2 linked regions of the Tamandua tetradactyla genome follow. The protein of the gene in region 2 interacts with the protein of the main gene of each other region in a pairwise test. Links are inferred from orthologs where the notes say so. Each region holds a gene or a part of one and is shown on either strand. Other genes may lie near its edges.

Evidence for each region.
Region 1: the proteins of TAX1BP1 (region 2) and MAP1LC3C interact in binary tests that used the Homo sapiens proteins (3 or more experiments, as listed by UniProt). The link is inferred for Tamandua tetradactyla from reciprocal best matches to the Homo sapiens genes TAX1BP1 and MAP1LC3C.

The regions. Positions count from the first base shown.
Region 1 is NC_135333.1:13,053,078-13,069,206, reverse strand, and holds MAP1LC3C (microtubule-associated protein 1 light chain 3 gamma), read right to left. Parts: upstream 9,209-16,129; 5' UTR 9,117-9,208; coding exon 9,059-9,116; intron 8,946-9,058; coding exon 8,890-8,945; intron 8,711-8,889; coding exon 8,604-8,710; intron 5,799-8,603; coding exon 5,546-5,798; 3' UTR 4,954-5,545; downstream 1-4,953.
Region 2 is NC_135327.1:95,376,713-95,392,795, forward strand, and holds the start of TAX1BP1 (tax1-binding protein 1), read right to left. Parts: upstream 8,839-16,083; 5' UTR 8,688-8,838; intron 2,631-8,687; 5' UTR 2,624-2,630; coding exon 2,462-2,623; intron 1-2,461.

The sequences.
Region 1 (16,129 bases), on a different chromosome or scaffold from region 2:
AAAGGATTGAGAAAACCTTGACCAAAATGGGGAAGAGTGAAATGAGACAAAGTGTCAATGGCTAAGAGATTCCAAACAGAGTTGACAGGTTATCCTGGAGGTTATTCTTATGCATTAAGTAGATATCACCTTGTTAGTCAAGATGTAAAGGAGAGGCTGGAGGGAACTGCCTGAAAATGTAGGGCTGTGTTCCAGTAGCCATGTTTCTTGATGATGATTGTATAATGATATAGCTTTCACAATGTGACTGTGTGATTGTGAAAACCTTGTGTCTGATGCTCCTTTTATCTACCTTGTCAACAGATGAGTAGAACATATGGAATAAAAATAAATAATAGAAGGAACAAATATTAAAATAAATTCAGTTTGAAATGCTAGTCATCAATGAAAGGGAAGGGTAAGGGGCATGGTATGTAAAATTCTTTTTTTTTTTTTCTGTTTTTGTTTTATTTTTCTGTTGCTTTTTATTTCTTTTTCTGAATTGATGCAAATGTTCTAAGAAATGATCATGATGATGAATATGCAACTATGTGATGATATTGTGAATTACTGATTAAATATGTAGAATGGAATGAGCATATATTAAGGATGTTTGCGTTTCTTTCTTGTAATTTTTTTTAATTAATAAAAAATTATAAAAAAAAAATTTACCACCCACAATTGAGTGGGTCTCATCTCCATGGATAACCAAAGAGCTCCCACTCAGCAATATTGAATGAGATTTAAAGAATGCAGATTTTCTGGGTTACACCACAGATTCAAACTGGCACAATACAAAAAGGCAATAAATTTCAAAGTATATAGTATTATATGAATTATAATAAAATGTTATAAAATATATACAAGAAAGTAAATATTCAAAGTACATTGTAACAGGTAATTACAGAACAGATTTCAAAGTTTGGTATGAGTTACTATTTCACAATTTTAGGTTTTTCCTTCTAGCTGCTCCAAGACACTGGAAACTAAAAGACATATCAATAAAATGATTCTGCAGTCATGCTCATTTGTTGAATCCTCTCTTCTCTGTTATAACACCTGCTTCTCCCAGTCTTTAGGGGTATTTGGGCTCTATCCCTTCTAACATTTCCTTTTGGTAGGGATTGTCAATAATATGGAATAGGGGGATGGAACTAGTTGATGGTCTTAGAGAAACTGGGTTTCAGGACTTATCTGCTGTAGGAACATAATAAGTTATGTGCTACAGAAAATGTAGGTTTTGGGCAAAATCAAGCTCCCTTCCTTTGGTCTCATAGAGTAAGCAAAGTTTAAAATACAGGCAATGTCATCCTTACTGCTGTATTCTGATTTACCTTGGTCCCGACCCAATTGGTTTTGTTCTTATCTCTCATTGAAGCCTGATCTCTTTTTCAGTTTCTTTAACAGTTGCTGTACGGAGCAATGCTGACTTTCAGAGCTGCAGAACTCCAGCTCTGAGTCTTGGCTGTCACACAGGTACCCAAAGTTTCAGGGAGATACCAGGTTATACATATATAGCACAACATCTCAAAATCTAGAAATAACATCCACAGCTCTGGACTAAATGTGACTGCTATAAGACCTTACAATCTAGGCCCCAAGTTTCTTATGTGTATTTTCTAAAAGAGACCCATACAATATATGTTGCCTTGTTCCCAGCTTATTTTGCACCACATAATATTTCCAAGTCAATAGCAGTGCTTTGGCACACTTCCTCACACCTACACCAGCCGCCTTCACCATAGGTGATCCCCCTGCTAGAAATACTTTCATGTCCAGCAGTCACTCCTAGCCAAGCACCTATACTGGGCAGACACTTCCTCTAAAGTGGAAACCTAATGAGCTTTGGTATCTGAGGAAGTTGAGCGAGGACCAAACCTCTGTGAACCTCCTAGGGGAGAGCACAATGATTCCTGCTAACTAAGTGACCACAGAAAGGGCAAAAGATTGCAGGGTATCCCCCTGGAATCAGCCATACCCACCACCCTGGCCAGAGGGACAGAGGACTAGGGGAAGGCATGGAAGGAAGGGTGGACAGTGAGAAATTACTCATTTATTGGTGGAAATAAATCACAAAAAATGGGTCAGATGCAGCTGATGGAGAAGAAGCTAGGTTGTTTATTAGGAGTATGTGTAGATTAAATATGACCACGACTCCTTAGACATACCTCTTGAAAGGAGAAGCTTCAATTTTCCCATCCCTTCAATCTGGGCTTGACCAAAGAATGCAACAAAATGACACTGGGCAAGACCCAGAGCCTGGGAGAATACAGTTAGACTTGTATTTTCCCCATTGCCTTCCCTGGAACATGACCCTAAAATCACTGTATCTCAGGAGCTGGTTTAGCCTGTTGGAAGATGAGTGGCAATGAGGGTGGTCCCAAGACACAGGCCAACAGCCAGAATTCAGGGCCTCTTTCACCTGCCAGCTCAACATAGCTGCCTGCGTGAGCCCAGGTGAAAGCAGCTGAGGAACCTCGTCGCCAAGCCAGAATATCGTGAGAAAGAATAAATCCTGTTTTATGTCACTAAGTTTATGTCACTTGGGTTTCCGGCATGGCAGGTGAGAATTCTGTCACTGAGCCACCGTTGTTGTACCACCCTATGTCAGGGTATTCCCTGGGCATCCTCTCCTGAATCTTCCCACTTCTGTCCCTAAGTTTTCACCTGTCTCTTCTAGTCATTCCCGCCTCCACTCCAGTGGCAGATCAATACTTTCGTATTGTTTGTTTGTTTGTTTTCGATCAATACTTTTTATCTTTGTCATTTTTAGTGTGTAATAATTTAAGATAATGTAATCTTTCCATTGTTCAGCAGAAATTGGCCCAGGTTATTTTCATGGAGACGGTGAAGAAATGATCAAAGTAAAAGGAAAATGGATGTAAAAGGGGAGGAATCATCAGGGACAATTGTTCTCTGAGCTAGGGGGCCAGTCCATATCAATAGGGACCCAGGGTCTGGAAGAAAGAATGAAAGAAAGAAGATGACAATAAATATTTGCTAAAACTTTAATTTATGCCCATTGAAAATATCCTGCTCCAATCAGAAAAGCCAAAAGCATGGAAGGAAATAGCGTCAATAAAAATATTGGAAACTGAAAAACATAGTTCACTTTCTTACACAATTTGCAGGCTCTTCCTCCAGATCACAAAGAACTGACTTCTTCTCATGGTATGGACTCAGATCAAAAGCCACCTCCTCCAAGAAGCCTTCCCTGACCATCGAGGTAGAGTCTTCTTCACTGTCTCTGCTCCCAACTCTGTTTTATTGTTTCTTTACATTATTACTAGTCTCTGTATTTTCATTCTTTCCTCACTGGAGCCAGTTCCATGAGACTGGGCCCTTCTCTGTCTTGTTTACTGCTGTAGCTCTTGCCTGGCACACAACAGATGTGTAATAAATCTTTACTGGCTGTAAGTGAAAACAAAAACAACAAAAAAGAATTTCTTCTCATGAAAACTCTTTTCCTTCTCCAAACCCAACTCAAACTGCACTCCTCTGTGTGTCTTTCCTGAGTGAACCCTCCGAACACAGTGGTACTCTGCCTTCTTTGGGCTCTCCTCTTCTTGGCATAGAACTAGTTCTATTTTTAATATAATTCTTAAAATATAACATTTTTTACTAGAGGAGTTGTAGGTTTATAGAAAAATCATGCAGAAAATACAGAGTTCCCATATACCTCGGCATTAACAGCTTGCATTAGTGTGGTTCCTTGTTACAACTGATAAAAGAATATTATTATAATTGTACCGTTAATTATGGTTCGTAGTTTACATTAGGGTTTACTGTTTGTGTTGTAAAGTCCCATGTGCTTTTTTTTAATTCCAATAACATATATTCAACCTAAAGTCTCCCTTGAACCACATTCAAACATATAATTCAGTGCAGAGTTGTGTTCACAATATTGTGCCACCATCATTACCATCCATTACCAAAATGTTTCCATCACCCCAAACAGAAACTCTGTACCAATCAAGCATTAACTCTCCATCCCCTCTCCCTACCTTGGCCCCTGGTAGCCTATATTCTAGTCTCTGACTCTATGAATTTGCTTATTCTAATTATTTCCTATCAGTGAAATCATGTCCTTTGCACAAAACTAGATTTACATGTCCAAGCTTTACTGCAGTTATGTGTCTCCCTCTCTGTACTGGTTTGAATTTGTGCACCCCAGAAAATCCTTTAATCTTCATTCAGTATTGCTGGGTGGGAGTTTTAAAATTATCCATGGAGAGGTGACCCATCTAATTGTGGGTGGTAACTTTTGATTAGATGATTTCCATGGAGGTGTGTCTCCACCCATTCAAAGCGGGATTTGCTTCCTGGAGCCCTTTAAGAGACAACCATTTTGGAAAGAGCTACAGACCCTGCGCAGCCAGAGACCTTCGGAGATGCAGAAGGAACACGTCCCAGGGGAGCTTCATGAACCAAGAAGCCTAGAGAGAAAGCTAGCAGACACCACCATGCTCGCCATGTGCCTTTCCAGTTGAGAGAAAGACCCTGAACGTCATTGGCCTTCTTGAGCCAAGGTATCTTTCCCTGGATGCCTTAGATTGAACATTTCTATAGCCTTGCTTTAGTTGGGACATTTTCACAGTCTTAGAAATGTGGACTTGCAACTTAATAAATTCCTTTTAAAAGCCGTTCTGTTTCTGGTGTATTGAATTCTGGCAGCTAGCAAACTAGAACACTCTTTGTTTCCCATTGCGAATTGTTAAGCTAGTAACTCAGTTTCAATTCAAGCATATTCGGTTCCCACCAAGTGAAGAAACTTCTGCGTTAGAAAGGAAGACTAGCAAAGGGGTTTGGGGCTTGATTTCAAAATCTAGTTGGGACCTTGGGTGAGTTTCTTGACCTTTCATTGACCTAATTTTCTCATTTTAAAATGGGGATTATAGTACTTAACATATAGAAGAGTCATGAGGAATAAACACATGTAGAGTATTTGAATAAAGCCTGGTCTATAAAAAGAACTTAAATGCTGACTACTATTTTAAAGATTCTTATCTTAAAAAAAGACTATTAATTTAAATTATTTAAAATCAAGAAGTCATAATGCTGGCATAGACAAAAAAGAATATAATAGGAAATAACTGAGTGAGTACTATGGAAATGTAACAAGAGTCTCTTTAATGACACAGATAAGACCACACCCGGATAAGCTTTAATGTGGTTGCACTGTCTGCACCGGCTTCCAGAGAGACCACCGAGCAGGCATTCTCTGTACACTGACCCACAGAAGTGACACCTCCAGGAGACAGTGAACTCGGATTCCCCAAGGCTCTGCCCTACCTCCACCACCGAAGACGTTTTAAAGATAACTCCAGCGCATCATGCAACATCATCACACAAATCCACCATTGCTTATTCAGACAAAAAGAATCACCATTTACAAAATTTCCATGAGCAATGGGAGCTTCTTCCAGTGACAGGGCTCATGAAAAGAGAAACCAAGCCAGAAACGACCGGTGGCTTCAGTGTCGTTTGATGGGGCTGTCTCTCCAGGTCATACTCGTTTTCCTCGACCCTTCCACCGCACGCACAGGAACAGCCAGTCCCATCTGCATCAGTTAGAAGACAACTTCTTCTTGACCGGAGCCTGAGAGGCTGGCAGCCCTGTTCCCAAGAGGCGCCGGTCCCTGATGGCTGTCCACCCCAAGCCACCGAACATCTCCTGGGAGGCGTAGGTCATGTACACGAAGCCGTCCTTGTCCTTGTGGTCCCTGTAGATCTCGGCCATGGTCACACTCGTACTGACCAGGCTCCTATTGTTCACCAGCACGTAAAAGGCTTCAGTGGCCCTTAGGACCAGGCGGCTCCTGGGTTGGTGGGAGCAGGTGGGTAGGGGAGGGCACAGGTGTGGGGTGGGGAGATGGCAGAAAGGAAAGAAGTTAATCTGGCAGGGAATGGGCCTCTGATCTGAAGGTGTAGCTCAGTTTTTGTCCAATGTAAGCTTCTACCCAGATGCCCTCCCTTCCCCAATCTAGGGCTGTGGTCCTCACACTTTAGAATCATCCAGGAGAGACCTGTTGAAAATGCAGATTCCTGGGATCCAGTACCCCCCCCACCTCCCCCACCCCCTCCACCCCCACAGATTTAAATTGAATTGATCTGGGAAGCAGCCTAGGCATCTGTGTGATTGTGAAGTAAGTGCACCTCACGTTGAGAACCATTGCTCAAGAGACACAGGCAGCACCCCTGCTGCCCCACCGCTGCCTGAAGTCTCTCAAACTGCCATTTCTACCTATATGCCTGCCTGCACCATCCTTGCTGAAACGGTAGTTTATATCTGTCCACCACTTAACTTTCTTTTTTTTGTACTCAGTATGGTGGGGCCACAGTTCGTTCTTTTTCCATGTGAGTATCCCGTTATTGCAGCACCATTTGTTAAATTTTTTGTTTGTTTCTTTGTTTGCTTGGGAAGTGCCTGGTCCAGGAATTGAACCCAGGTCTCCCCATGGCAGGCGAGAATTCTACCACTGATCCACCTTTGCACCCCCCACCACTTAACTTTTTTAACAAAACCTCAGCCCTTGTCTCATTTGATTCCCTACTTTATAGATAAAAAAACCAAAGTGTAGAAAAAATTAAAGGACCTGCCTAAATGGCCTTCTCTGTAGTATTACTGGGGCAACAAAATAGTTATTAGAAATTGGCCAAAAGATTCACTATACTTCCCGGAAGATTTCAAATGCCCTGGGACTCTCAGTTGGGCCCGAAGTGCAAGGCCATGTCTTCATTTACTAGAAAAAATACATACAGGTTAAAAATGCTAAGCAAGGGCAGGCCATGGTGGCTCAGCAGGCAGAGTTCTCACCTGCCATGCTGGAGACCCGGGTTCGATTCCCGGTGCCTGCCCATGCAAAAGGAAAAAAAAAAAAAAAAAGCTAAGTAAGTAGGCCTCTGTTTGCTATGAATCTAAAGTGAAGAATTCTCCAGTAATGCCACATAACCTATCACTTAAACAGCTTCGGGGCAGGGGCGGGGGGCATTTAGAACAACTTCTCCCTTGGATTAAGGTGACAAAGGAGCAGCCACATTTGGTTGGGCATGCTAAGAGCTCTGAATCATTGTTTTGGCATCATGGCAAGTTACATCTATTGGTGATGGCTAAATGTCTCTTTTTCCACCCATCCTCCTCAACAGCCAACCCGCCTCACCCTACGTTGTTTAAGAGCCATGGCCGGTGCCCTCCTGGGCCCAGCTGAAAGGTGCCAGGCCAGTTACTTGATGCTGGCAGACCCAGAGACTGAGTCCTGACAATTGCATTGTCCTCCTGGGATGACCAAACATCTGTTCTGTAGAAAGGACAGAGCTGAAGAGGAGGTCGGCAGTTGGTTCTCAAAGGATACCCTTCTTGTCAAGAAATTTGACCTTCTTTTCCTTCCATCTCCTATTAGGTTATCCTTTTAACGTCGAGAGGTCCCCAAGAGGGAGAACTCTGTGGCTTAGAAGATGTTTAGGGCAGGAATTTTGTCTGTTTTGTTCACTGTCCCATACCCAGAGCATAGAATATAAATAGCCTGATATATAGTGCGTGCTGCGTGTCAACTATTTTTGAAGGAATTAAAGTAGAAATTTGAAATCTCTGGGATGGAGAATGGGGAGTGCGTGAAGACTGTAGGTGGCCCTACATGGAGGAAAGGGGGGAATGGTGCCCAACGATCTAATCCTGATTTTGGTTCTCCCATAGCTGCCTTCAGTTTCCACCAGATTCACCTAAACAACCCTTAGCAGATCTGAGGAAAACTCTGGGCGTTCTAAAAGAGCTCATAAAAAAATCATAGTAAGTGCTCTGGAGAAAATGCCTGCATCAGCTAAAACCTCCGAGAGGTTATTTCCGCCTCAGGGAGACACACACACACCAGCCATGCTGACGGCCGCCCCCCTCCCCCCCACCAGTCAACGGGCTTTAGTTCCAAATCGTATTTATTGAGTCTAGCTGACAGGCACCAACTGAAATCCCATAAGTTTTATGTTTAAAATCAGCAACATTTCCTTTGCTTTGCCCTTCCTTCTCCTGAGAGGGAGAAAGCCGTGCAGGAGCAGAAGGTACTTGCTTCCTGTGCTCGGTGATCCTAGCAGATGCACAAAACCCAACCCCTCACTGCCATCAGGGGAGCAAAGAAAGAGAACTAATGAGGGCAAAATGCTGACTGCTGGGCCCCCAAAATACCTGACAACGGAGGGTTTCTTCAACTAGTTTCAGAAACAAGTCTCCTTTGAAAAGTCATTAGAGACATTTGAAGGTAGCAATTAAAATAGGGTCTCAGTAAAAGTTGAAATAAAAGAGAAAACAGCTCTTACGTCAACACTGGGACCTCTCACTGAGGGTTATTAGCAAGGTATTTCTTTTCTGTTTAAAATAGGGGATGCATGAGCTCGCCTTGTTTTGCAGGGGGTGGGCACGGTGCATGGTTTGTGAATCGATCCCAGATCTCCTGCATGTAAGGTGAGCATTCTACCAGTGAACCACCCGTTCACCCAAGCTCACCCTTTTTAAAAGTATAATTAAAGGAAAAGGTGAAGCAGAACTCTTTCCTGTCTCCCTCTGCCAGACCCCCACTCTCCCCAAAGCCCAGAGACATCCACAGCTGCCACCTCCCGCAGGATTCATCACCTACCGAAGGACGCTGAGGAACTGAGTCACGGTCAGCTCCTGTGGGACCAGGAACTTGGTTTTGTCCAGGAGGGGCAGGAACTTCTCCCTGGGATAGCGCTCCACTACCACCTGTCAAATGTCTCAGCATGAATCTTTCCTGAAACAAGTGCCTAAGACTGTGACTCAGTGTTCTTAGGAACTTGGAACAGAGAGAAGGAGGTTGTTGAGTGGTTTTTGTTTTTACAAAGAACAGAATCACAGGCCCCCCTACCACCCCACTCCCACCCCCAGGAAAACACGAGTCTTACCGGAATCTTGCTTGGGAACTTTGCCCGGATTCCAGCAACTTCCTCTCTTCTGGTTGCTGTGAAAATTGTAAGTGCAAAGGAATATATAAGCATGTAAGAGAAGTCTGCATTTTAAAAATTTTCCCTTTCTTAAGATTTGGAATCTAAAAAGACACCCCCAGAACTTTACCTAAGCTCTTCCTCTGCTTGAAAGGTCTGGGGCTTGGGCTTTTCTGTGGAGGCTGCATTTTTACAGCTGTGTCTGTCTGATTAAAAAAAGAAAAGAAAGAAAGAAAAGAAAAGCCCAGGACCAGGACCTAACTCATTCCTCTAGCTGCTTCCAAACTGCCTGCAGGAACCTGAGGAAGCCCTTACATAGGGCTGTGTGATATCAGACTTCTCCTTCCCTCCCCTTTTCCCACCCCCTATCCAGGCAGGAGGGAGGTAGGTTCTGAGGATGGAAATGGAATTTGCATGCTTGTTAGTCAGAGAAAGTCACTTTGCTCATAACTAATTAAGAATTTGTCTTTACTAAGGAAATCAAGGTTTACAACGTAGTGCATTGGTCCTGGATAGAAATAGCCTTAAGTAAGGACATTTATTATTGTTGTTATTATTTTTTTATTAAACTTTTTAGTGAGTTAAGCCTTTGTGATACTGTGATGCAAAGAATGTACTTTGCATATGGAAAGAATACTTCTTTTGGGGTTCCAAAGGGTGGAGTGTGCTGGTTTGAATCTGTTATGTGCCGCCCAAAAACCTACGTTCCTTTAATCCATTCTTGTGGGGACAGAACTATTGTGGGTAGGACCTTTTGGTTAGGCTGTTTCCATGGCAAGTGTGGACATTTAACACTAAAGCAATGAAGGTAATCTAAGATTCTTCCACCTTACCCTGAAATGTGCTGCTGTTTTTCACAGTAAAAAATAGATACTCATAAATGTTGAGTGATCTGCCCAAGGTCGCACAAATAAGAAGATGTGAAATTAGGGTTGAGATCTAATGTGTGTCAAAGTAATATTCCCCTCTGCAATTGCCCAACATATTTTGTCATATTTCTGCAGTTCCAAGAATGTGAGCAGGACAGTTATCATATTAAGATCTCGCCTTTAAAAAATAGATGCAACCACGAGCCACAAAAATGAACTTATTTACCTGGGATTAAACAGATAGTTAAAGACAGTTCTGCTTGCCGTCCAGGATGCTTTCCATGAGATCATTCTTTTAAATGGAAATTATGGTTTTAGGGACCCAGCTTCCCCTTCTGGAAAATGATATTGCTATCGAAGCTGATCACCCACTCACTTCACATCCAAGAGCACAGTGGTCCCTTCGTATTTCCAGGCCCAGCCCCATCCTGAATGGAGAATAGACTGAACCATTTGCATCTCCTCCATTGTTGGTTGTGCTCCTGAGAAGTCATTGGCCTTCGCTGGGACCATTCCAGACCGAGTCATCTGACACTGAAAGAGTCTTCAGACTGATGATGATACAGAAGGAAATGATCAAACATTCTCCAGACTGGCTGAGTGACAGAACAAAAAAGAAGTAGGCTATTACTGTTGTTTACACAACTATTTAAGTCTCTATTTTTTAAGTTTTGCCTTTCCTTCTGCCAACAAAGCCGGAGTAATGGTTGCCAAGCCCACCCTGAGGCCTTGAGTGAGACAATGAGGAGAGAGAACTTGGTCTCAGCAGTCAGAAGGGTTTCTTAGCAGGCCTCCAGATTCTAAGGCCATTTCAGCATAGTCGTGTCCTTCCTTGACTCTGTCTAGGCCCTGTGGAGTGAGTTGGGGAAGTAAGTTGAGTTGTTTTATTGTATTTACTCAAAATATTTTTATTGAGAAATCTTCACCCATCACAACATCCATCCAAAGTATACCATCAGGGGTCACAATATCATCACATGGTTGTGTATTTATCACCATGATCATTTTTAGATAATTTGCAACACTCCAGAAAAATAAAGAGAAAAAAGAAAAAAACTCAGACATATCATACTCCTAACCCCGCTCTCTCATTGATCGTTAGTATTTCCATCTACCAATTTATTTGACCTTTCATCCCCCATATTGATTATTTATTTCTTATCTATATTATTTTACTCATCTGTCCATACCCTTGATAAAGGGAGTGTTAGCTATAATGTTTTCAAAATCACACAGTCACATTGTAAGAGTTATATCATTATACAATCTTCTTCAAGAATTAAGGCTACTGGAACACAGTTCACACTTTCAGGTACTTCCCTCTAGCCACTCCAATACACCATACACTAAAAAGGGATATCTATATAATGTATAAAAATAACCTCCAGGATAACCTCTTGACTCTGAAATCTCTCAGCCACTGAAACTTTATTTTGTTTCATATCTCTCTTCCCCCTTTGGTCCAGAAGGCTTTCTCAATTCCATGATGACAGGTCCTGCCTCATCCCCAGGACTCATGTCCCACATTGCCAGGGAGATTTACACCCCTGGGAGTCATGTCGCACATAGTGGGGAGGGCAGTGAGTTCATCTGCGGAGTTGGCTTAGAGAGAAAGGCCATATCTGAGTAACAAAAGAGGTCTCTGGGGGACTGTTAGACATAGTTATAATTAGCTTAAGCTCTCCTTTGGAGAAATAATTTTTATAGGGTCAAAGCCCAAGATCGAAGGCTCAGCCTATTAAATTGGTAGTCCTCAATGCTTGCAAGGATATCAGGAATTCCCCAGGTGGAGAAGTTTAATATTTCCTCCTTTCTCCCCAGCTCCCCAAGGGGGCTTTGCAAATACTTTTTTATTCTCTGCCAAATTACTCTGGGATGTATTGGTAGATCGCACTGTTCTTTACAAACCAACAAGCTCTCATGCCCTATTCAAGATTCCATGTAATTGTGGTGTTTGAATGCACAAGTTAAATTAGATACTGTGTGACAGAAAATATAAACCTCTTCCTTCTCTTTCTTTTGTCTCACACAGAAGTTGAGGTTTTAATATATAAACCATATCATCCTTTACCCTGCACTCTGATGTACCTTAGTCCTATCCAGGTCAGCTTCACTCATATTTCTAGTTGAAGTCTGATCACTTTTTCAACAGTTTCTGTGTGGGATAATGCTGACTTTCATAGCTTCAGGGCTCTCTGAGACTCAGTTGTCACACAAATACCCAAAGTTCCAGGTAATGACCAGGTTATATACAGAGAGTTCAGCATCTTAGAATTCAGAAATAACAGTTACAACTCTGGAATAGATGTGACTGCTATAAGAACTTACAATTTAGGAACCTTTATAATAGGTCTTAACCTGATGCCCTATGCTCTTGATTTCATTTCTCTGAGTTTGTATATTATAGTTAGTTCATATGAGTGAGGTATAATAATATTTATCTTTTCGTTTCTGACATTTCATTCAACATACTGTCCTTAAGGGTCATTCACCTAGTTGCATGCCTCACACCTTCATTCCTTCTTGCAGCTCTCAGTAGTCTGTTGTCATTGTATTATACAACATAGTTTCCCCTTCCATTCCTCAGTCATTGTACTCTTAGGCCAGCTCCATTCATTGCGAGTCATGAACAGGAACACTGCCGCCATAAACACCAGTGTGCAAATGTCCATTCCTGTCCGCACACTCAGTTCCTCCAGGTATATACTGAGCAATGGGGTTTCAGCATCCTATGGCAATGACACCCCTAGTCTCCTGTGGAATCACCACACTCCCCTCCAGGGGGCTGCACCTCTCAGATCCCTACAGACAGTGAATAGATCCATCTCTTTCTCCACATGTTCTCCAGCACTTGTTTCTCTCTGTTCATTTTTAAACAGTTTTATTCACATATCGTACAATCCAACCGAAATAAAAAATCAGTGGTTCCTGGTATAATCACAGGGCCATGCCCTCACCACCATAGTCTATATGAGGACATTTCCTTTTCTTCTGCAAAGAATTCCATGCCCCTCCCAGAGCTGAGTCGATTATACAGCTCTACACCACGCAGTCAGCTTGTCTGGGTGCTGGAACCCAGGAAGGGCCCGGGCAAGTCTTCCGTAAAGATGCATGGCTTGGGGGTCCCTTTCTTTTCCCTTTTTGGACCTCTTAACTCTTTCCTATTCATACTCACCCAGTTTATCATTTAATCCTTTAAAAAGCTCTGAGTTCTCCTAATGTCATTGTGATTGCTCAAGAAGAGTGAATCCTACATTTTTCATATCTACATCATGAAATTTTCCTTCCAAGGTTTTATGTCTTTTATTTGAGAAAAATAATGATCACTGCCATTTAATAACTATTAGTTAGGATGGACGAAGCTATGCTAATGCGAGAAATATACCCCAAACTCAGTTGCTAAACATAAAGCTTTATTCTCATCCTCATAATGGCCCAATGCAAACAGGAAGATTCTCTTGTTTGGTTCTACTCCAAAAGAAATTCAGGCATACGTGCTGTTTCAGATGCGCTATTCTGTTTATTTCAAAGTCCTTTGTTTCCAGCATGTCAGATGTGAAAATGGGCGGCAAAGGCATGCTTGCTCTTAATTGCCTCCGACTTAAAAGTGCTTAGAGTGACAGCTAACTTCCACTCTCCTGCCACTGATGTACCTTAAACATAGGAATAGTTTGGGGGAGGTGTGAAATAAGGAAGCAAAGATAATTTCCCAGGCAACTCCTACAGTCTTTATTGGTTTCACATTTAAAATCCACCCCTCAAGCACACGCACAAAGTGTAGGCACTAGAATTAGACTGTTCAGGTTTGAACTCTGGTTCTATCACCTACTAGCTAAGTGAACTTTGGCCCATTGATACACTCTTCTCTCTACCAGTTACCTCATGTGTAGAATGAAAAAACGAAATGAAACAAAACAAAAAACTACCTTAGTGGGCTGCTGCATCCAGTGGGTTTGTTAATATATGTAAAAAAAAATTTACAACAGTGCGTGGGGCACATACCACCCTATAAGTGTAAGTTATTATTTCTACCATTTTGTTGGTGAAGAACTTGAGGTTCAAAGAGGTTCCCTAGAGCCTTTGGACAAGACAAGGTTGTTGGTTTTCAAGCTGCCATGAAAGTCTAAGGTTGAACTGGACAAAAGACTTAACTTATTAACATTGCCATTATTATTATCCTTCATTGGAAAAAAGGGAGGAATTATTAAGTGTGCTTGACACCATGTTAAATACTATACATATTTTCCGAATTATTCCTTCTGAGCTTGGAGATGCAAAATAACATGCTCTGGATCCCACAGCTGGTGTGATTTGAACTCATGTCTATACAACACCAAAAGCTATGTTTATTCCATTATAACTTAATGTGTTCCATTCTTGACTTTTAAATTAATAAATTGCGGGGGGAACCTTGTAATCTTAGGGAGAATATTTTCTGAGATTTCTCTAGCAGTCTCTTTACCTCAACAATTCTTAAATGACCAGATCCTCTGTCGCACCCACTGTTTGGATCTTCAGAGTTCATTTCAAAGTGGAAATCGTTCCCTCTAATCCCTCCAAACCTGAAGCCTAATTGCCCACTTCCCAAATGTCATCACAGAATGACTTTTTTAGAAATAAAACCATAGCATCCCAGAGTGAAGGTGAGCGCGCCACCCCCAGCTCCTTTGGGTTGCCAAGTTAAAGGATTTAAGTGCCTGCCTCAGAACTCCCACCGTCAGCTGTCATAAGCCCCAGCTCTCCTGTTATGAGTCAACTTTGGCAGTGTTTGTATCTTATCCATGGGGATTAAAAAGCATGTTCTGACATTGAGGCTGTTCATGGGCTTGTACTAATCCCTTAGACACAGGAAGGTAGGAAGGGAAAAAAGTAAACCTAATGCGGACCTGAAAAACATTGGTAAACTGGTTAGAGAAGGTAGCAAGCTTTGGTGGAATTAGTTGCAAAGGGAGTTCCAAGCCCATTTTCCTAAAACACTGAGAAAGTTCTTGCTTTTCAGCATCTATTACATTAATTAGAATGTGCTCCTGAAAACACCTGGCCCTTGGCCCTGTGGGCCCTTAGAAAATGGCATTTTTAGAATATTTGAGGCTGGGAGGAGGATATGGCACAGATCAGCCACTGTGACCTGATGTTCTGGGACCTTGGGAATTTACCCAACCTGATTTCCCAGCCATCTGACCTCACCCAGAGAGGCTCACAACGTAGATATTAGTTGCATTACCTATCTATTCTTGCATAACAAATCATTCCTAAACTCAGCAGCTTAAAACAACAACAAACATTATTTCATGGGTTGTGTGGCAAGCAATTCAGGAGCAGCTTAGCTGGTTCTGGCTCGGAGTCTTTAATGAGCTTTTAGTTAAGATGTTGGCTGGGGCTGCTTCCAAAACAGCTCCCTCCTGTGGCTGACAGGTTAACCTACTCTCTCTGGGGAGGCAGCGTGTGATCATTCCTTGTTTCCATCTTCTCTGCAGTAACTGGGCCATTTGTCTCTAAGTCTGATCCAATCTAAGTTAAGACCATGCTTGGTAAATGCCTTTAACAGTGAGGGGAATCCTAGAATGATAAATATCACAAAATGGAATAAACCTTAACACTTCCAAGAAAGGCTGCCAACCTTCCCCACTTCTAATCTCTTTTCTGTGTCCTGACCGTATATATTTTTGTGACTAGTGAAATTACTAAAACATTACTATTTTGGGTTAATAAATTAGCTTTAAAATCTGAATCGCTATGAAAAAAAGTCTGGCTTTAAACACTTTTTTCAAAATACTGTACTGAAATAGTCAATGAAGCACTGACAATAGAAAATAATTTAAATGTCATCAGTTAAGAGTTAATTATGACATGCGTTATATAGAACTAAAGGTAGTGGTTAAAGCTTTTTAATGTATATTGACAGGAAGATTGCAAAATTATGCGATTATAAAAATTAGTGCAGAACTCATGTTTTTAAAAAGTCACAGAAAAAGCGGCATAGAAAAGACATATTCATCAAATTGATAATATGGAAGGGTACTAGGATTAGGGTACTAACAAGTGTTTTGAAATTCATCTGTAATGCTGGAATATTTAAGTGAGAATATATTGTGTTCTACTTGTACAATTAAAAGAAATAAAAATATTGTATAAGAAAGCATTTTTATAGACTCAAAGGTGCTTGGATTTTATTTCCTCCCTCCCAAAATTAAGTGATGTGGAGGAGCTGCCCTCTTGTGGAACTTTTGAAATAGTCTTTAAATGGTTACCCATCAATCAAAAAGATTACTGTGTGTTTGATTCTCAGAATTTTGATGTTGCAATTTCAGAAATTTCAACCCCTCATGTTT
Region 2 (16,083 bases):
ACAGCTTAACTGAATACCATAAGTACATGGAACCTTGAGTAGGGCATGAGATTTTGTTGGTTTGTCCGGAGTGATTCCCTGATAAATCCCACAGTGATTTGAACAGTGAATAAAAAAGTATTTGCAAAGTCCCCTATAGGGAATGTTGAGAAAGGGGGAAAATTCAACTTCCCCAAATTGAATTCTTGATATTCGCACAAGCAGTGGGGACAACCAAAACAACAGGCTAAGCCCCCAATCTTGGGGTTTGTTCATATGAAACTTAACCCCGCAAAGGATAGGCTAAACCTACTTAAAATTAGGCCTAAGAGTCACCCCCAAGAGAACCTCTTTTGTTGCTCAGATGTGGCCTCTCTCTCTCTCAGCCAACACGACAAGCAAACTCACTGCCCTCCCTCTCTCTATGTGAGATATGACTCCCAGGGGTGTGGACCTTCCTGGCAATGTAGGACAGAAATCCTAGAATGAGCTAGGACTCAGCACCAAGGGACTGAGAAAACCTTCTCGACTGATGGGGGAAGAGAGAAATGAGACAAAATAAAGCATCAATGGCTGAGAGATTCCAAACAGTTGAGAAGGAAAATGTCTCCCTGGGAGTTTCATGAAACAGGAAGCCAGGATAAGAAGCTAGCAGATGATGCTGGGTTTACCAGGTGCCTTTTCAAATGAGAGAGGAACCCTGAACTTCAATGGCCTTCTTGAACCAAGGTATCTTTTCCTGGATGCCTTAGATTGGACATTTCTATAAATTTGTTTTAATTGGGACATTTTCTCGGCCTTAGAACTGTAAACTTTCAACTTACTAAATTCCTCTTTTTAAAAGCCATTCTGTTTCTGGTATATTGCATTCCAGCAGCTAGTAAACTAGAATACTCATTCTCACTTCTCTGCCTTTGCTTACACCAGTTCTCCTGCTGGGAATGTCCCTTCCTCAATCTCACTGTCCTGTTTACTTTGTCCTTTCTGACCCATTCTTGCACAATACACAAATTTTCAATCAGTATAACTTGTCATCTGTATTGGTTTTCTGGGGCTGCCATAACAAAATACCACACATTGGATGGCTTAATAGAATATCAATTTATTGTTTCACAGTTTTGGAGGTTATGCTTCTTCTGAAACCAGCAGATTTCTGGCAGTGCCCTGTGAGCAATCTGTAGTATAACTAAACCTCTGCCCCCATTACACAGCTGTCTTCTATCTTCTACTGTGTCCAAGTCTTCTCTCCTTATAAGGATTCTAGTCATACTGAATTAGGAACCACCCTAACTCAGTATGACTTCATCTTAACATCTTCAAAGACTCAATTTCCAAATCAGATCACATTAACAGTACTGGAGATGAGGACTTAAACATATCTTTTGGGGGAAAACAATCAATCCAAACAATACCTATATTTCACATAAAATCAAAACTGATCTCATAAAATGCTTAAAATAAATGTATCTCAATTTTGGAATTTGACAAACTTAAAAACTAACCAAAAAAAAAAAAAAGGAAAACTGTAATGACTTTAGTAGCATAAGGAATGAGGAATTCAAAAACAGAAATGTTATGTAAATTTCAAAACTTTTTGTCTAAATACAGTTTTATTTCCTCTTTTCATTCTATCAGGTCTGGACTTTCACTTCAAGATGCTCTCAACATGCCTAATTCTAATAGTGGAAATATCTTTCTACTTGACTATTTATCTTGTACAGGCTATAATAAAAATTGTTAGAATGATATCCAAACTAAGACAACTGATTCTGACGGAGACTCTAGAGTAATCCAGGAGAAAGGTGAATGAGTTTTATTGTCTGGACACTTAAGACATTATTTTGAGTGCTCTAAAGATAACTTTTATCTTATGTGTTCTGGTTCTCTATTACATTCTAAAAAGTAGAATTTGCCAAAAACTTCCAGCAAAGTGAGGGATCCCTGTAATTATTTCAACACCTTTCAAGCAAATAATACACAAAATGGCTGGCAAAATATAGGGGCAAGAACTCTGGTCATCAAAGTGTTTACTATTCAGTCATGTAAAACAATATACTTATATAACAGCGTAAGATGATATGGGCAATGTTTAAACAATGCAAGACACACAGAAGAGATAATATGGCTTAGAGCTATACAAAATTAACTACAAATGACTGAAACACACCGTAAATAACACAGGAACCAGAAGAAAAGATGATTTTTTTTCAGGTGAGAAAGTGGAAAAAAAAATGATTCTGAAAAAACATTTACAAGAAATTGAGTGAAACTGAACCTTTTGATTATAGAAAAGAAAGCCTGGTGAAGAAGTTCCTAACATTTGTCTTATACTACCATACAATATTTGTTAACAATTTCACAGTGACATTTACAAGGTGACTCTTAATGTAGAGTTAAGGCTAGTATAAGCTACTTATCAGTCTGTTTAAAAAAGAAAATAAAGAATGACTACATGGAAGAAATATTCAAAAAGTTTTCTTACCTTAAATATACCAACCCAATCTTTTGGATGTGGATGGATATATGGAGTTAAGGTGTAATGACATTCCAGGTGTGCATTAGGAAGATAACTCTTGGCCACATTTTGAAAGATGACATGTGCAAAGTTGGAAGTCTGCAATGGGACTTCTTGAAAGGATGTCATTGTGTATCTGAAACAAGTAATTCATACAAAATGAATGACATCAACTAAGAAGAAACTTACACCTTCAGAAAATAACATTTCATACAAGTTTTGTGAATTTGCATGCCATAAATACTGAGAAGATATATACTTTTAAAATACTGGAATACCTCCTTAAAAATGTAAATAAAACAAGAGACAAATTGGGAAATTTGGCTTAGAATGTTACATGGGGGTTAGAAAGTATAAAAAAGGAAAAAAGAAAGAGAAAACAAAAACAACAAAAAATAATGCTTCTCAACTCTCCTGCAAAGACTAGACCTGTTCATTTTAAAAGCAAATGAACTGAAGGTGTTTTAGAGCACCAACAGTCACCGAAAACCTGCCAGCCCTTGGCTACAGATATTATGAAAAAGAAACAAAAACAGGTCAATTAAGTTTTTCTTTCCATGCTGAACCCTCGATCTTCATTGTTTTCCTCCCTAATCTGGCCTACCCAATCGCTCTCCTCTTCCTGGGTTCTAGGCTCCTGTAACATCCTGCTTCTAACCTGCTGACCAATAGCTCTGTACCTGCCTTTTTTGCCCTGGGTTCCCGATTCTCTGGACCAGCGCCCTCAACTCTGGCTACAGATTAGAATCACTGGGGAAGCCTTCAAAAAGCAAACAAAAAAGATGACTTTTCTAGGAATGGGGCGTAGGCATAGTTGTTGTTATTTTTTTTTTTAATTTCCTCAATTAATCCTAATCCTATGTACAGCCAAAATAGAGCCACAACTTAGACTCTGACCCAGATCAACTTAAGTCTCTACTACCACCTCTCACTCATTTCCACAAATTCCAGATTGTCTTCTTGGCCTTTGGTAAAACTTTGTTCAACTCTCTCAAATCATGAAAAACCTCAGCTGGTCTGCTTAAAATAGCTCAGCCTAATTGTTTCTCTCTATCTACCCCAATTCTACCCTTTCATTCCAGGTTGACTTCCAGTATTCGTGTACCTTTTCCATGTATGTACTGAATAAAAATCTTTTTAAAAAATTTTAAAGCAAAACAGATATACAACATCAATGAAATACATTCTTTTGAAAACCTGTTGTAGTTAGTGAACACCAAGAACCGGATTGATGAATGGTGCCAGTGGGCAATAAAAAACTGGAAGACCCAAATGTTTTCCATAGTTTTTGCTCTAATTTTGAGAAAAAGAAAATAACTGGGGGATTTACTCAAAAAGGCAAACTACGAATTATGTCACAGGCTCAGCATAACCCCTGATGCTACCGTACACATAAGAATTATGACACTGACCCTATGGCATTTGCTTCTGAGCCATCAAAACAGAAATCTCCATAATAATGGGGGAAAGTGGTAACAAGATTTTCGTTAAACAAATTAATCTAATTTACTTAACAAATCAATGAATTTTCTACAGGGCAAGCACAACAGTAAAACACTTACTCATATTTTAGCAATTAAGAAGCCTTTATTGCTAAGAAGACCTAAGACAGTTTGCTTGCACAATTATTTCTTCTGCTGACCTGTTTTGAAATAAAGGCAAGTTTCTTAAATTTTGAAACACTACTTTGGAATATATCCATTCCTCTTCTTGTATCCTTTCTGCTTCTCTTTTGGTCATAGTACTGCTTTACAAGAACAATAGGCTGGACACTCCATAAAGAACCTGACCTGACAGTAGCGAACCTGGTAGCCATAAGGGTAGTTCAGCAAGTCTCTTTCATTTCACCTCTCTCACCCAAGTTTCGCCAGAATCCTGAGGTATGTCAGGAGTCCGAGGTGTTAAGAGAGGGCATTCAGTAGCAGTCCTTTGCACTAACAAAGAGCTTTACTATCAGCAACCCTATTTAATAAAAGGACTTAAATGTCAATATTCCTACATCTGGTAGTCTAAAGACTTCAGAGAAATGAAAAGGCAGCATTTCCAAAGACTGGGAACTCTGATCAAAATAACTGAAGAGTTTTATTTCATTGTTTCTTTCAGTAAAAGAATTGGCTACAAGTTACCAAAAAGAAAAGCTATAGCTAAATCAGCCCAATCAATAGCTAAACCAGTTGAACCAATCTCTATAAGGTAAAACTACTTAAAATAATTCAAGCGAATCAGTAATATTTTCCTATGAAGAAAGTGACTATTTAGGTTTCTCTAAGGAAGATATTCAGCAAGGAGAAAATAAGGCTCCCTTAGAATAAGTTTCCCATGTTGTTAATTAAAAGTGTTACAAAACTTTTTTCTTAAAATCAAACATGTTTTTTTACATAAGCTAAATCAACAAAGCTGTAATGATTTGTTTATAAAACAATTCAGTAGAATTTAAACTTCTGTTTAATTTCAATTAAAAGTTTTTTTTTTTAAATCCATAACCCAACCTCACACTTTTAACTTCATTGAAAAGATTTTTGAGCATAAAATAGCATGCAGGTGTACACATACATATATATATATACACACACATACATATTTTCACATATGGTATATGAGCATATATGTATATAAATGCACTAAAAGGGACTGAAGCAGTACACAGTTAAAAAATCTTTACTTATGGAGGATAGGATATGTCTGAAAACAGAACTTAAGAGGACTTTCACCTTTTTTTCAACACATTTAAGGACTTTCACTTTTAACTCTATTTATTGTCTGAATTTCTACCAATACACAGAAATCTATTTTCATTGCTTTAAACATCCATATGAACATGAAATTTCCTTTTTAAGCCCTCCCCCAAATTTCAATTTTTGACAGAAAACTAACATCAAACTTAAAATAGATTCATGGCATTTATATGTCTGAGGAATAAGATAATCTGTGATCATCCTATTAAAAATCTTCATTAATCCCATTCCAACAGTCCAATCTTTTAAAAAAATTCAATATAAAATTACAGAAATATCTCACAAGTCAATCCATGTTTATCATCACTTTATTTTTTACTCTTTTTATTAAATTTCACTACTACTTCTAGTCACTAAAAAGTTAACATGGATGAATACAATACGAATGTAACTACAAAATGAATCAAACCATTTTAAACAGCAAAATTAAAATTCTCACACAGTTCTTTTGGTTCACTCTGTCCACACAGAGTAAGTAGAACAGAGAAATGGGCAAGCTGATAAAAACGCTGGAATTCACTAAAAATACTGGATATTAAGATGAGTGCCAGCGGGCCACACTTGCTCAGCAGGCAGAGTTCTCACCTGCCATGCAGAGACCTGGGTTCGTTTCCCAATGCTTGCCCATGCAAAAAAAAGATGATGAGCCCCAGGTAGATTTATACACTACACTATACACATCAACACGCACATCCAGAACCAGTGAAGAAGTAATGTGCAAAGTCTATGCATCACCTTGTGGTAATCCTTGGGAAGTGTAGCATCCCCAGCATCCTGAGAAAAAAATGCGAGCTGCACCTCAGTTTGAAAAAGGAAATATAGCTCCTATCTACAAAGGAAATAGAGCATACCAAATTTTGCTTCCTATTCTGTAAAGTACCTCTTCAGACACATGAGTAGATTACAGCGGCAAGCCACAGATAAGTAAAAAGAAAAAAAATCCAGTTAAGAATTAAAGGAACAGATACATTTGGCTGGGAAATAAAATCTGAAATGCATATATATATATGCGGCTACAGTGTCCTCGTCCAGGACTTACTATATTTCCTCAAGTCCTAACACCTCTAGAATTCCTTCAGCTGTGTTAGGCCACAAACTAGGTATTATAAAAGTCTTTAGTCTAAAATTAAATTTTGTTATTCTGAGAACTCATCAATCCTTAAAAAAAAGTAATATGCAGTAGTCTCTAAAATAAATTTTGGAGTCACGGGTAACATTTCAAGGTTGTTTTACTTGCTTCTCTTTCAAATATTTCAAGCCCAAAATAGATCTGGCTTTTGTGGCAGGTTTTGTTCCCCCTCACTGTGGTTTCTGATAATTATTTTACCTGACTAACCAAAACATGCAAGCCTTAGTCAACTAATGTTGAAAACAGACTTGAGAACCTCTGTGCATTAAACATATAAAGTCAAATTAAGTTTTTTAACTTAAATAAATATTTTCTATAATTTCAGTCCCAACAATTAGGACTAAAGAAGCAGTAAGGTAATTTTGTTAGGTCTGATAACGAGATTGTGGTAATTTGATATATCAAATCCTCACCAATTAGAGATGCTAAACTAATTATAAGAGAACTGTCCTTATGAGTGGGATTTGCTTTACAAACTCCAGGAGAGGGGAAAATAAATGGTTGGAGGGGGTAACAGAACAAGACTAGCAAAATGTTAATCTATATTATTTTTAGCTCTCCTTCTGTATGTGTTTTTTCTGTGTGTCCTCAGAAGCACTGTGATTCAGGTAGTCATTGACAAAATTAGCGAAAGCTTTGAGAATCTCGGGTTTGGAAATTATGAACCTTTAAAATTACGTCAAAATTTCAGTTCTACAGGACACAAAAACATCTAAAAAGGTGGGAAATGTCTGACACTTTGATAATATTTCAATATTTGAATGCATACAGAGTATCAACTGGTTTATAGCTCACTACTCCATCTGCCAAACCGCATTCCTGCAGATTCCCCATTTCCAGAATCCTTTACAGCTGAGTGTCATTACACTCTGCCCATGTGTCCCGAACACCAGTTATATTTACTTTTAAAAATTTTTTTTAAAGTTAGTTTCTAAAATGCTACGAATGCCCCACATATACTTGAGAGGAGGGACTTTCTATTTTTTACTAAAGATTTGGCCCAAAATAAGCTTTAATGAGCAAAAAGTGCATAAATCCCAAGTTTTACTTAGTAATATCCAAATTCCAAAAGAATACAATCTAATACACTCCACATCTGAGTAATTCCCCCAAACAGGTAATGAAGGAGCACTGTTAGGATCCTCAAAACTATTTAACATTATTTAAAAGACCGAACTTAAAGAGTTTCAAAATACCTGTTACTTTTGTTACGGGGAGAGTATTTACTGGATAACTCTACACAACTGTGATGTCTAGAATAGGATGTTCTTTGACATCTGAGAACCACATTGGGAAAAAAAAAACCTTAAGTCAAATTTAGTGTAATTAAGTAATCCTTCAAGAAATCAGTCTACAAGTTCAGATAAAAACATCGAAAGCAAGTCTGGCCTCAACCCCTTCTCTATAGCCGAAAAGGGCTTTGAGGGCAAGCAGCCCACCTTTAGACCAAAAGGGTGTAATATAATTTATTAACAGGGTGATGTAGACAAACACCCACATACCAGCTAAGCTCTAACAGTGGACTCGAGAAAGCATAGCTCCGGAACTCTTAAGACACGGTCGGGACTTGTTCACCACCCGCGGGGGAAGGAAGGAGAGTTGTGAAAACAAAGAAAACTTTGACTAGTCAAAGGAAGATGTGACTGTCCTCTAAAGACTTTTTTTTTATTTATTTATCTCTTCGAGTACTGGGAGATGAGGGGTGGGGGAATTCATAAGCAGATTTCGAAATTCTGTAGTCCAGGTGAAGTAGATCCGGACCGAACAGCTAACCCCGCCCGCGGCCCTACCGCGTGGGCGGTACAGGGGGAGTCTCCGCCTCCTGATCCACGGGTGACTAAAAACAAATTCGCGAGTCTCTGCCGAATCAAAGGCGGCGTCCATCCCAGACCTGACTTAGATGTTATCCCAAGCTTACCGATACCGGTAGCACACACAAGCCCTCAACACAGCGTCATCCTAGAGTTGATCCTTGGACAGCATATTTTTTTCTCCAAGAGCCGCACAAGTCACTTGTCCCGACCAAAGGGCCCACGTCCCAAGTCCCAAGGCCTGTACGCTGGCCTCCCCCGCCGTGGAGGGCGGCCACTCAACGCTTTTCCAACTCCACTGCTAATCGAAATCGCTCACACACCCCGTCACAATCACAGTCCAACAGAAAAATGTTTGTTCCCGGGAAGAAAAGCATCGTCATCACAGAGAACCAGTTCCCTGAAAGCTGCCAGGCCCCTAGCCTGCAGGGGCTGAGGGGCGTATCGCGAGTCCCAAAGGGGTTCCAGCTGGAGTCTGCCCCCGCAAAAGTCGCTGGAGCGGACGGAGAAGGGCTTACCTACTGAGGGACTCCCGGGCAGAGGAGGAAAGTTACAGAAGCTTCCGAGCCAGAGACGCCATCAGGGGCCGAACCTCTTCCGCCAACAACACCTCCCTCTACAGACTAACAACACTTCTCCTCAAAGCCCAGAGCCGGCGTGACATCACTTCCGCCCACGAGGCCGTTCCTTCCGCTGCTGCGCGGTACGTCCGGCCGCCATGCTTCGAAGCGGAGCCAGCTGTTTCAGCCTGCAGGGCTGCTCGGCCTCGGTTCTCGGTTTTACAACTTTCGTTCAGAGGTTCACTTCAGAAAATCAGGCTCCGTTTTTAGCATTTGCGGGTTTTTTTTAATTAGTGTTTTAATATGCGAAGTGGGGAAACATACTGGAAAATTAAGTTAGCGAAATAAAGGGTTACCCAGAGGTATGTGAGTTATTGCCTGGATCTTAAAACTCTGTCTAAACTAATTCACTTATAGATAAGGAGAGAGAGAATGACAGAGGTGAAGAGAGCGACCGCACATCTAGGGCTATAACCCCTGTGGCTCTCCCTCAACCCCTGCTCCTGTTTCTTGAACTACCAAGTTTTGTTAAGCGCTCCCTTTCTCCGAGGAGCTATTTCTCTAGCTCCACTGGCCTCTTAACGCCCACATTTCTGTAGTAAACTGTTTTTGTTATCTGTATTATTTTGTGTGCGAATTTTTTCCTATGTTTTGTTAAATTATAATTGCCTTATATGATGTCCTTTAATCGCTTTTTAAACTTTTATCTTCCCTTCCTATAGTAGGCACTCAGATTGAATCCTAACTCCGCGGAAGCAAGTGTGCCTGTCGGTACTCATCATATTCCTGTATTTATTTCCATAAACACTGAAACAGTGTACAGTATCACCAACGAAGAGAGGATGACAAATTAGACCGCATTAAACGTTGAAGCATCTGCTAAATAGAAAACATACACATTATGTATTTGCATGTAATAAATTTTCTATTACCCATTTTCAGTTCATGAAACCAGAAACCAATATACTTAATAAAAACCACAATTCAAAACAACACTTTTGTGAAGGAATTTTTGTTTTGTTTTGTTGTTTTTAATAATAATGTCTAAACAATTTTAGACCTTGTTTTCCCCATGAAGTATTTGTTTAGCTACTTTACTTTGCTTTATTCCTTTTAATAACAAGTCCTTGAATTTTTAGACCATGTTTCTCCCATCAAAATAAATACATAGCCTCACAATATTTAGGTGAATTTTTTTAATTAGCCTGTTAACAAGTAGGGCAGTGTGCTAGTGACTATAAGAGACATGGGGCCACAATTCTTATGTGAAAGTCTTGGGCCAGGTGTAATTCAGAATTTTTCAGGCTTTAGAAAGGTATATTTCGCATTATGTGACACTCCTACAGGGTCTAGAGGCAACACCTCATAATCAAATTAATGATTTTTCTGTGAAAATTGTAAGTATCAACTAAGGATAAATTAAGACTGTAAATAGTCTGCCTTCAGTTCCAGTTGTTCAGATCAGGTTTTACAACTTTACCACCATGTATTCAAATTAGATCAAGTTTTCTTGACAAATGAGTTCAGGCCACAGCAAATTTTGTCTAGTGAAGAAACATTTGATTTTCAGAGCTTTTTGGATTTCAAAATTGTGAATAAGAATTGTCGACCTGTTAAAAAAATTATTGGAAAAGGTATCAATCAATTTTTCTGGAGTAATTACAGTTTCAAGTAGTTTCTAGCCTGTTGTCCTGACCTGTTTCAAACTACCTATTGTGTGTTTTGATTAGGAAAATAGCTGACCATATCTATAGGAACAGTTCCTCTCTTATAGGAACTCATGATAGTAAAGGGAAGAAAAGAAATTAATCCATGAAAACCTAGGTGACTAAAGTAGAAATAAAATGCTTCAGAGGTAGGAGAATCATTACAAGCTTGTGTGAGCAGTGTACTTTTCATAGAGGAAGCAGGCCTACACTGTTAAAGTTAGGCAGGGATTTGATGAGGTGATAGGAGGAGGAAGACTTCCCAATTATGATGGGCATAGGAGTTAGAGGAGAGTTAACAAAAAATAATAATTCCCATTTATGAAACATATAGTGCTTTCCAAGCACTGTGCTTGAAATTTGACTTATATCGTCTCCATTCCTTGCAGCAGCCCTGAAAGGTAGGCATTAGCATTGCAGTGGAGTGGAGCTCAGAAAGGTTATATAACTTGCCAGTGATCACAGAATGGGTTACCCAGACTGGAACTCATTTTTGTGACTCCAAAGTTCATGCATTTCCTACTATGCTCTGATGCTTCTTGATGAGTGCTTTTTTGGTCATTTACTTTCTGTTTGGTTTGCTAAAGTTGCCAAAATGCGCTCTACTAGAAATGAGTTGGTTTTACAATGGGGATTCATTAACTTCGAAATTTACAGTTCTAAGACCATGAAAATGTCCCAATCAAGGCATCATCAGGATGATACCTGGACTCTGACGACAGGCTACTGGCAATTCTCAGCATCTCGGCCAGCATGTAAGGCACATGGCAGTTCTGCTGGTCTCTCATTTCTCTTCTGGGTTTCTTTTCTTTAAGCTTCTGACTTCTCTGTCTGTGGCTTTGTTTCTCAGCTTTCGTGTGTTTTTCTCTCTCAGCTCTCTCTCTCTTTCCTCTTTCATGCTTTTATAAGGGGCTCCACTAAGACTATTAATTAAGACCCACGTGGGGCATACCTCAACTGAAATAACCTAATCAAAGGTCCCAACCACAATAGTTCTATACCCACAGAAACAGAGTCGCTTTAAGAACATGATCTTTTCTGGGGTCCATAAAACCTCCAAAAAAATCACACTGTGTGGTCTCAACTTGTGCTAGGTGCTTGAGGAAAACAAAAAATAAAGCATGGTTTCTTACTCAAAGCTACCAGATACCTCTCTGATAATACAAGATGATGTCATTAAGTGTTAAATGTATAGGAAATGGACTGCAAGAAGTAAAGTAGAAAGATTGATGCAGAATTATTTGGGAATTACTGACAATTTAAAAAAGACTGGACTCTAAACTTTGAAATATTAACAGAATTTGAAAAGGTGGAGAAAAGGCTTGCTGGGTAGTGGGAGGGTGGATAATGTTATTAGAAGGGCACAAATGAGGCAAATAAGTGGTACAGCATGGGTTAAAAATTAGAAACTAATTCCAATGGGCCTGTTATAGAAATATTATAGGTTTTAAAAGCCAAGTAAAATGAGTTGTTTTCATTTTTTAGATCAGAGGTTTCCCTTTGAGTTTGTATTAAAGATTCCTTTTGCTACAAATGATTCTTTCCTTTTAAAGTAAAACATATTTAGAAAAAAGCACCTTTTTTTTTTTTTTTTCTTTTGCCATGGGCAGGCTCTGGAAATCAAACCCGGGTCTCCAGCATAGCAGGCAAGAATTTTGCCACTGAGCCACTGTTGCACCACCCTAGGGAAAAAGCACTTTTAAGGATGGGATTTGAATAATGGTAGGCTTTTGATAGAGAAGTCACTATAAACAAGGTTATTTATTTTCTCTTACTCGTGTGTTAGGAGAGGGTATGGATGTACTCCTTGTTCCTTATAGTTTATTAGCCACTACTCTCCCAGATGCTGGTAGAAGGTTGCTTCTTTGATTAACACGATTCAGTTTTATTCACCTTTTCCCTTCTTGTTGCTATCATCTGCTGATCTCCACAGCACTTGTCCTCATTTATGGAAGACTATCACCTTATGAACAGTCTTATTCTTCATTCCAGGCCCTTCAGGATGAACGTTCCAACACCCTGGCCTTTTTATTTCTTGAATCCCTTGTCTTCAGTGATCTCCACTCCACTCCAGATACCTATATTCCTGTTTGTACCTTGGACCATAACTGTTCCACCTTCAAAATCAAGCATCCTACACCAAACTAATGCTGATGAGAAGATTTTCAGCTGTTCCAACTTCCCCTCTGGATACCTTCCCTCTCAACTTAAATGAAGTAGAAAGTTTTATGCCTATCAGGCAGGGCCTACACCCCATGAAAAGTCAGAGCAGCTATAGAAGACAGACCCTCATCCTTCAGCAACCCTTAAGATTAAGAGGCAATATCCTTTAGTGTGCCGCTCCCCACCCCCCACCATCATTTCAGGATGAAAAAGTCAGAATACGTATTGCCCAAAGATTCGTATAGATTGGGAGAAGGACCAAAGGAGAAGGAGGAGGTATAGCGAAGAGAATAGGATTTAACAAATGAGTATGACTGCTGAATCACTATATTAATATTCCTTCTAGCTTCCAGTGTCTAAAGTAGCTAAAAGGAAAAATCTGAGATGAGGGAATGGTAGCCCATGACAAACTCTGGGATTTGTTCAGTAACTACTTGTTGAAGTGTGCCTTGAAAATAATTTTTTCTTTCTTTGCTGTGTATATATGTTATATTTTACAATAAAAATGGTTTTAAAAAAACAATGAGCTCTTTATTCCTAAAGACCACTCTAATATCACAACTTAATTGTAACAATTTCAGAAAGTGTTTTATTAATGATATAAAATATAGCCTACCTGTGTGTTTCAGCTTCTTTTTCTTTTCCCATTTGTGTAGGATGCTTTTCTGCTTTAATAAAATTTCTAATCTTTAAAAAAAAAAAAAAGATTAAGGTGAGAACTGTCTCACCTTAAAATTTAATAATCTTATTTATTTTAGTAAAAAATAAAATTTCTAATCTTTAAAAAAAAAAAAAGATTAAGGTGAGAGAGAAGGGAGGGGGAAAACCCTGCATGGAGCCCTCAAGCAATGATGGTAAATCAAGATCAGGAGGACCAGTGTCCTACACAGACAACCTGCCTGCAGCTACCCCTTACAGGAAACGCCCAGTGGCAACTGACTCTCCTAGAGCCAGATAACCCCACTTGAGTGAGTCATCCATGAAGAAGGATGGAGCCAACAGACTCGCCCAAATTCACTATCTACCAACAACTACTGCCCTGGAGAGAAGAGAGGGTAGGAGAAAGAGCCCAAAACCAGGAAGGGAGAAGGGTTGTAAGTAAAGCTAATCTGCAAAAGCAAATGGCCCCACATTGCCTGTTGCCTCTCGCCTCTCTCACCTTTCAACTTTCTTTTCTTGCTCGAGTGCCTACATGTCTTCTCACATGTGTATTCAATACATTTTCTAATTGCTTAAAAAAATAATCAAGCATCCTACTCCTTGACTATAATCTCCTATTTTTCTAACTCACTTATTCAACTATACCCAAATAGAAACAGAAACAACTGTTTCTCAAACTCATCAGGATTTTAATTCATTAAACTTCCTCCTTTAAAATCTTCCTGATTACCCAACTTAAGATCCATGGACTATTGTTGGGGATTGAATCATGTCCTCCATAAAAGGGATGTTGAGGTCCCAACGCCTGGTCCTATAGCTGTGAACTCATTTGTAAACAGAACTTTTGTAGATGTTATTAGTTAAGGTGTGCCCAAACTATATGAGAATGGGCCTTTCTCCAATGTGACTTAAATCCTTAGAAGCAGAGGAAACTGGACACAGAAGGAGAAGCCATGGGAGAAGAAAGAAACTGGAAGTCAATGGAACTGGGAAGAGAAAGAAAAAGATGCCACTTTGTTTTTTTGCCATGTGATGGAGAACCCAAGAAATCCAAAAATTGCCTACCAGCCAGAAGATACCTACCTGGGGAAGAGATACGCTTTCTAGCCTCTAAACCCTTGAGACAATAAATTGCTGTTTTAGGGCAACCCATTGTATAGTACTTGTTTTAGCGTCCAAGAAACTAAAACATCTACTTCGTCAATATTATTTCCAGTATCCGAAACTACCTTGACTTTCTAACTTGCAGTTTAAGTGTAATTTCCTATAACAAACATGCTTTATTAACACTGTGGTCATTATATGCTTTACCAATAAAGGTTATGTTTAGGAATATTAAACAAAAACTTTGAAGTTGAAATGGAGTGTCTTGAGGAATTTCTTCCACGATCAAAGAAAGAGGCAATAATGTATGGTAATAAGAAGCAGAACTTACTTTATACTTTAATATATACTTTAATAAGACCTTTGCCCCACCTAGCTCCTTACAGTGTTCCTTGTACAACTGAGAAGTCACTGGAATGTAAATATTTTCTAATCTCTCTTCTTTATTTTACTAAGAAAAATAGCCAGCACAGTATTTTTAAATTATTAAAGTACTTATCTCACAAAGCTTCTTTCCTCTTAGTGTTTCTCATTAAATGCCTTTATTATTTTTTGAGTCACTTGCATATCAGTGGTAATCAAAGTTAATAAAAATTACTTAAATAAAATGTTATTAAAAGGAATTTTTAAAAAACTTTTTGCATAATATAACATATATACAAAGCAAAGAAAGAAAAAAGCAATAGTTTTCAAAGCACTTTTCAACAAGTAGTTACAGGACAGATTCCAAAGTTTGTCGTGGGCTATGATACTATCCTCTCAGATTTTTCCTTCTAGCTGCTCTAGAACATTGGACGCTAAAAGGAGTAAATATTTTTTATCATCACAATCGACTTTCTTTTCCTCTTTTTTAACATGTGAAAAATAACATATATACAAAAAAGCAATAAATTTCAAAGCACAGCACAATTAGTTGTAGAACAGAATTCAGAGTTTGGTATGGGTTGCAATTCCACAATTTTAGGTTTTTACTTGTAGATGCTCTAAGATACTGGAGACTAAAAGAAATATCAATATAATGATTCAGCAGTCATACTCATTTGTTAAACCCTATCTTCTCTGTATAACTCCACCATCACCTTTGATCTTTTACCCCACTCTTTAGGGGTATTTGGGCTATGCCCATTCTAACTTTTTCATGTTGGAAGGGGCTGTCAATAATATGGGGTAGGTATGGAGATATCTTATGGATCTTACAACTGGAGGCGGTTTTATGGACCTTAAACCTAAAGCAAGAGCACTGAAGAAGGAAATAAATAAATGGGAACTCCTCAAAATTAAACACTTTTGTGCATCAAAGAACTTCATCAAGAAAGTAGAAAGACAGCCTTCACAATGGGAGACAATATTTGGAAATGATATATCAGATAAAGGTCTAGTATCCAGAATTTATAAAGAGATTGTTCATCTCAACAACAAAAAGACAGCCAACCCAATTACAAAATGGGAAAAAGACTTGAACAGACACCTCTCAGAAGAGGAAATACGGATGGCCAAGAGGCACATGAAGAGATGCTCAATGTCCCTGGCCATTAGAGAAATGCAAATCAAAACCACAATGAGATATCATCTCACACCCACCAGAATGGCCATTATCAACAAAACAGAAAATGACAAGTGCTGGAGAGGATGCGGAGAAAGAGGCACACTTATCCACTGTTGGTGGGAATGTCAAAGGGCGCAACCACTGTGGAAGGCAGTTTGGCGGTTCCTCAAAAAGC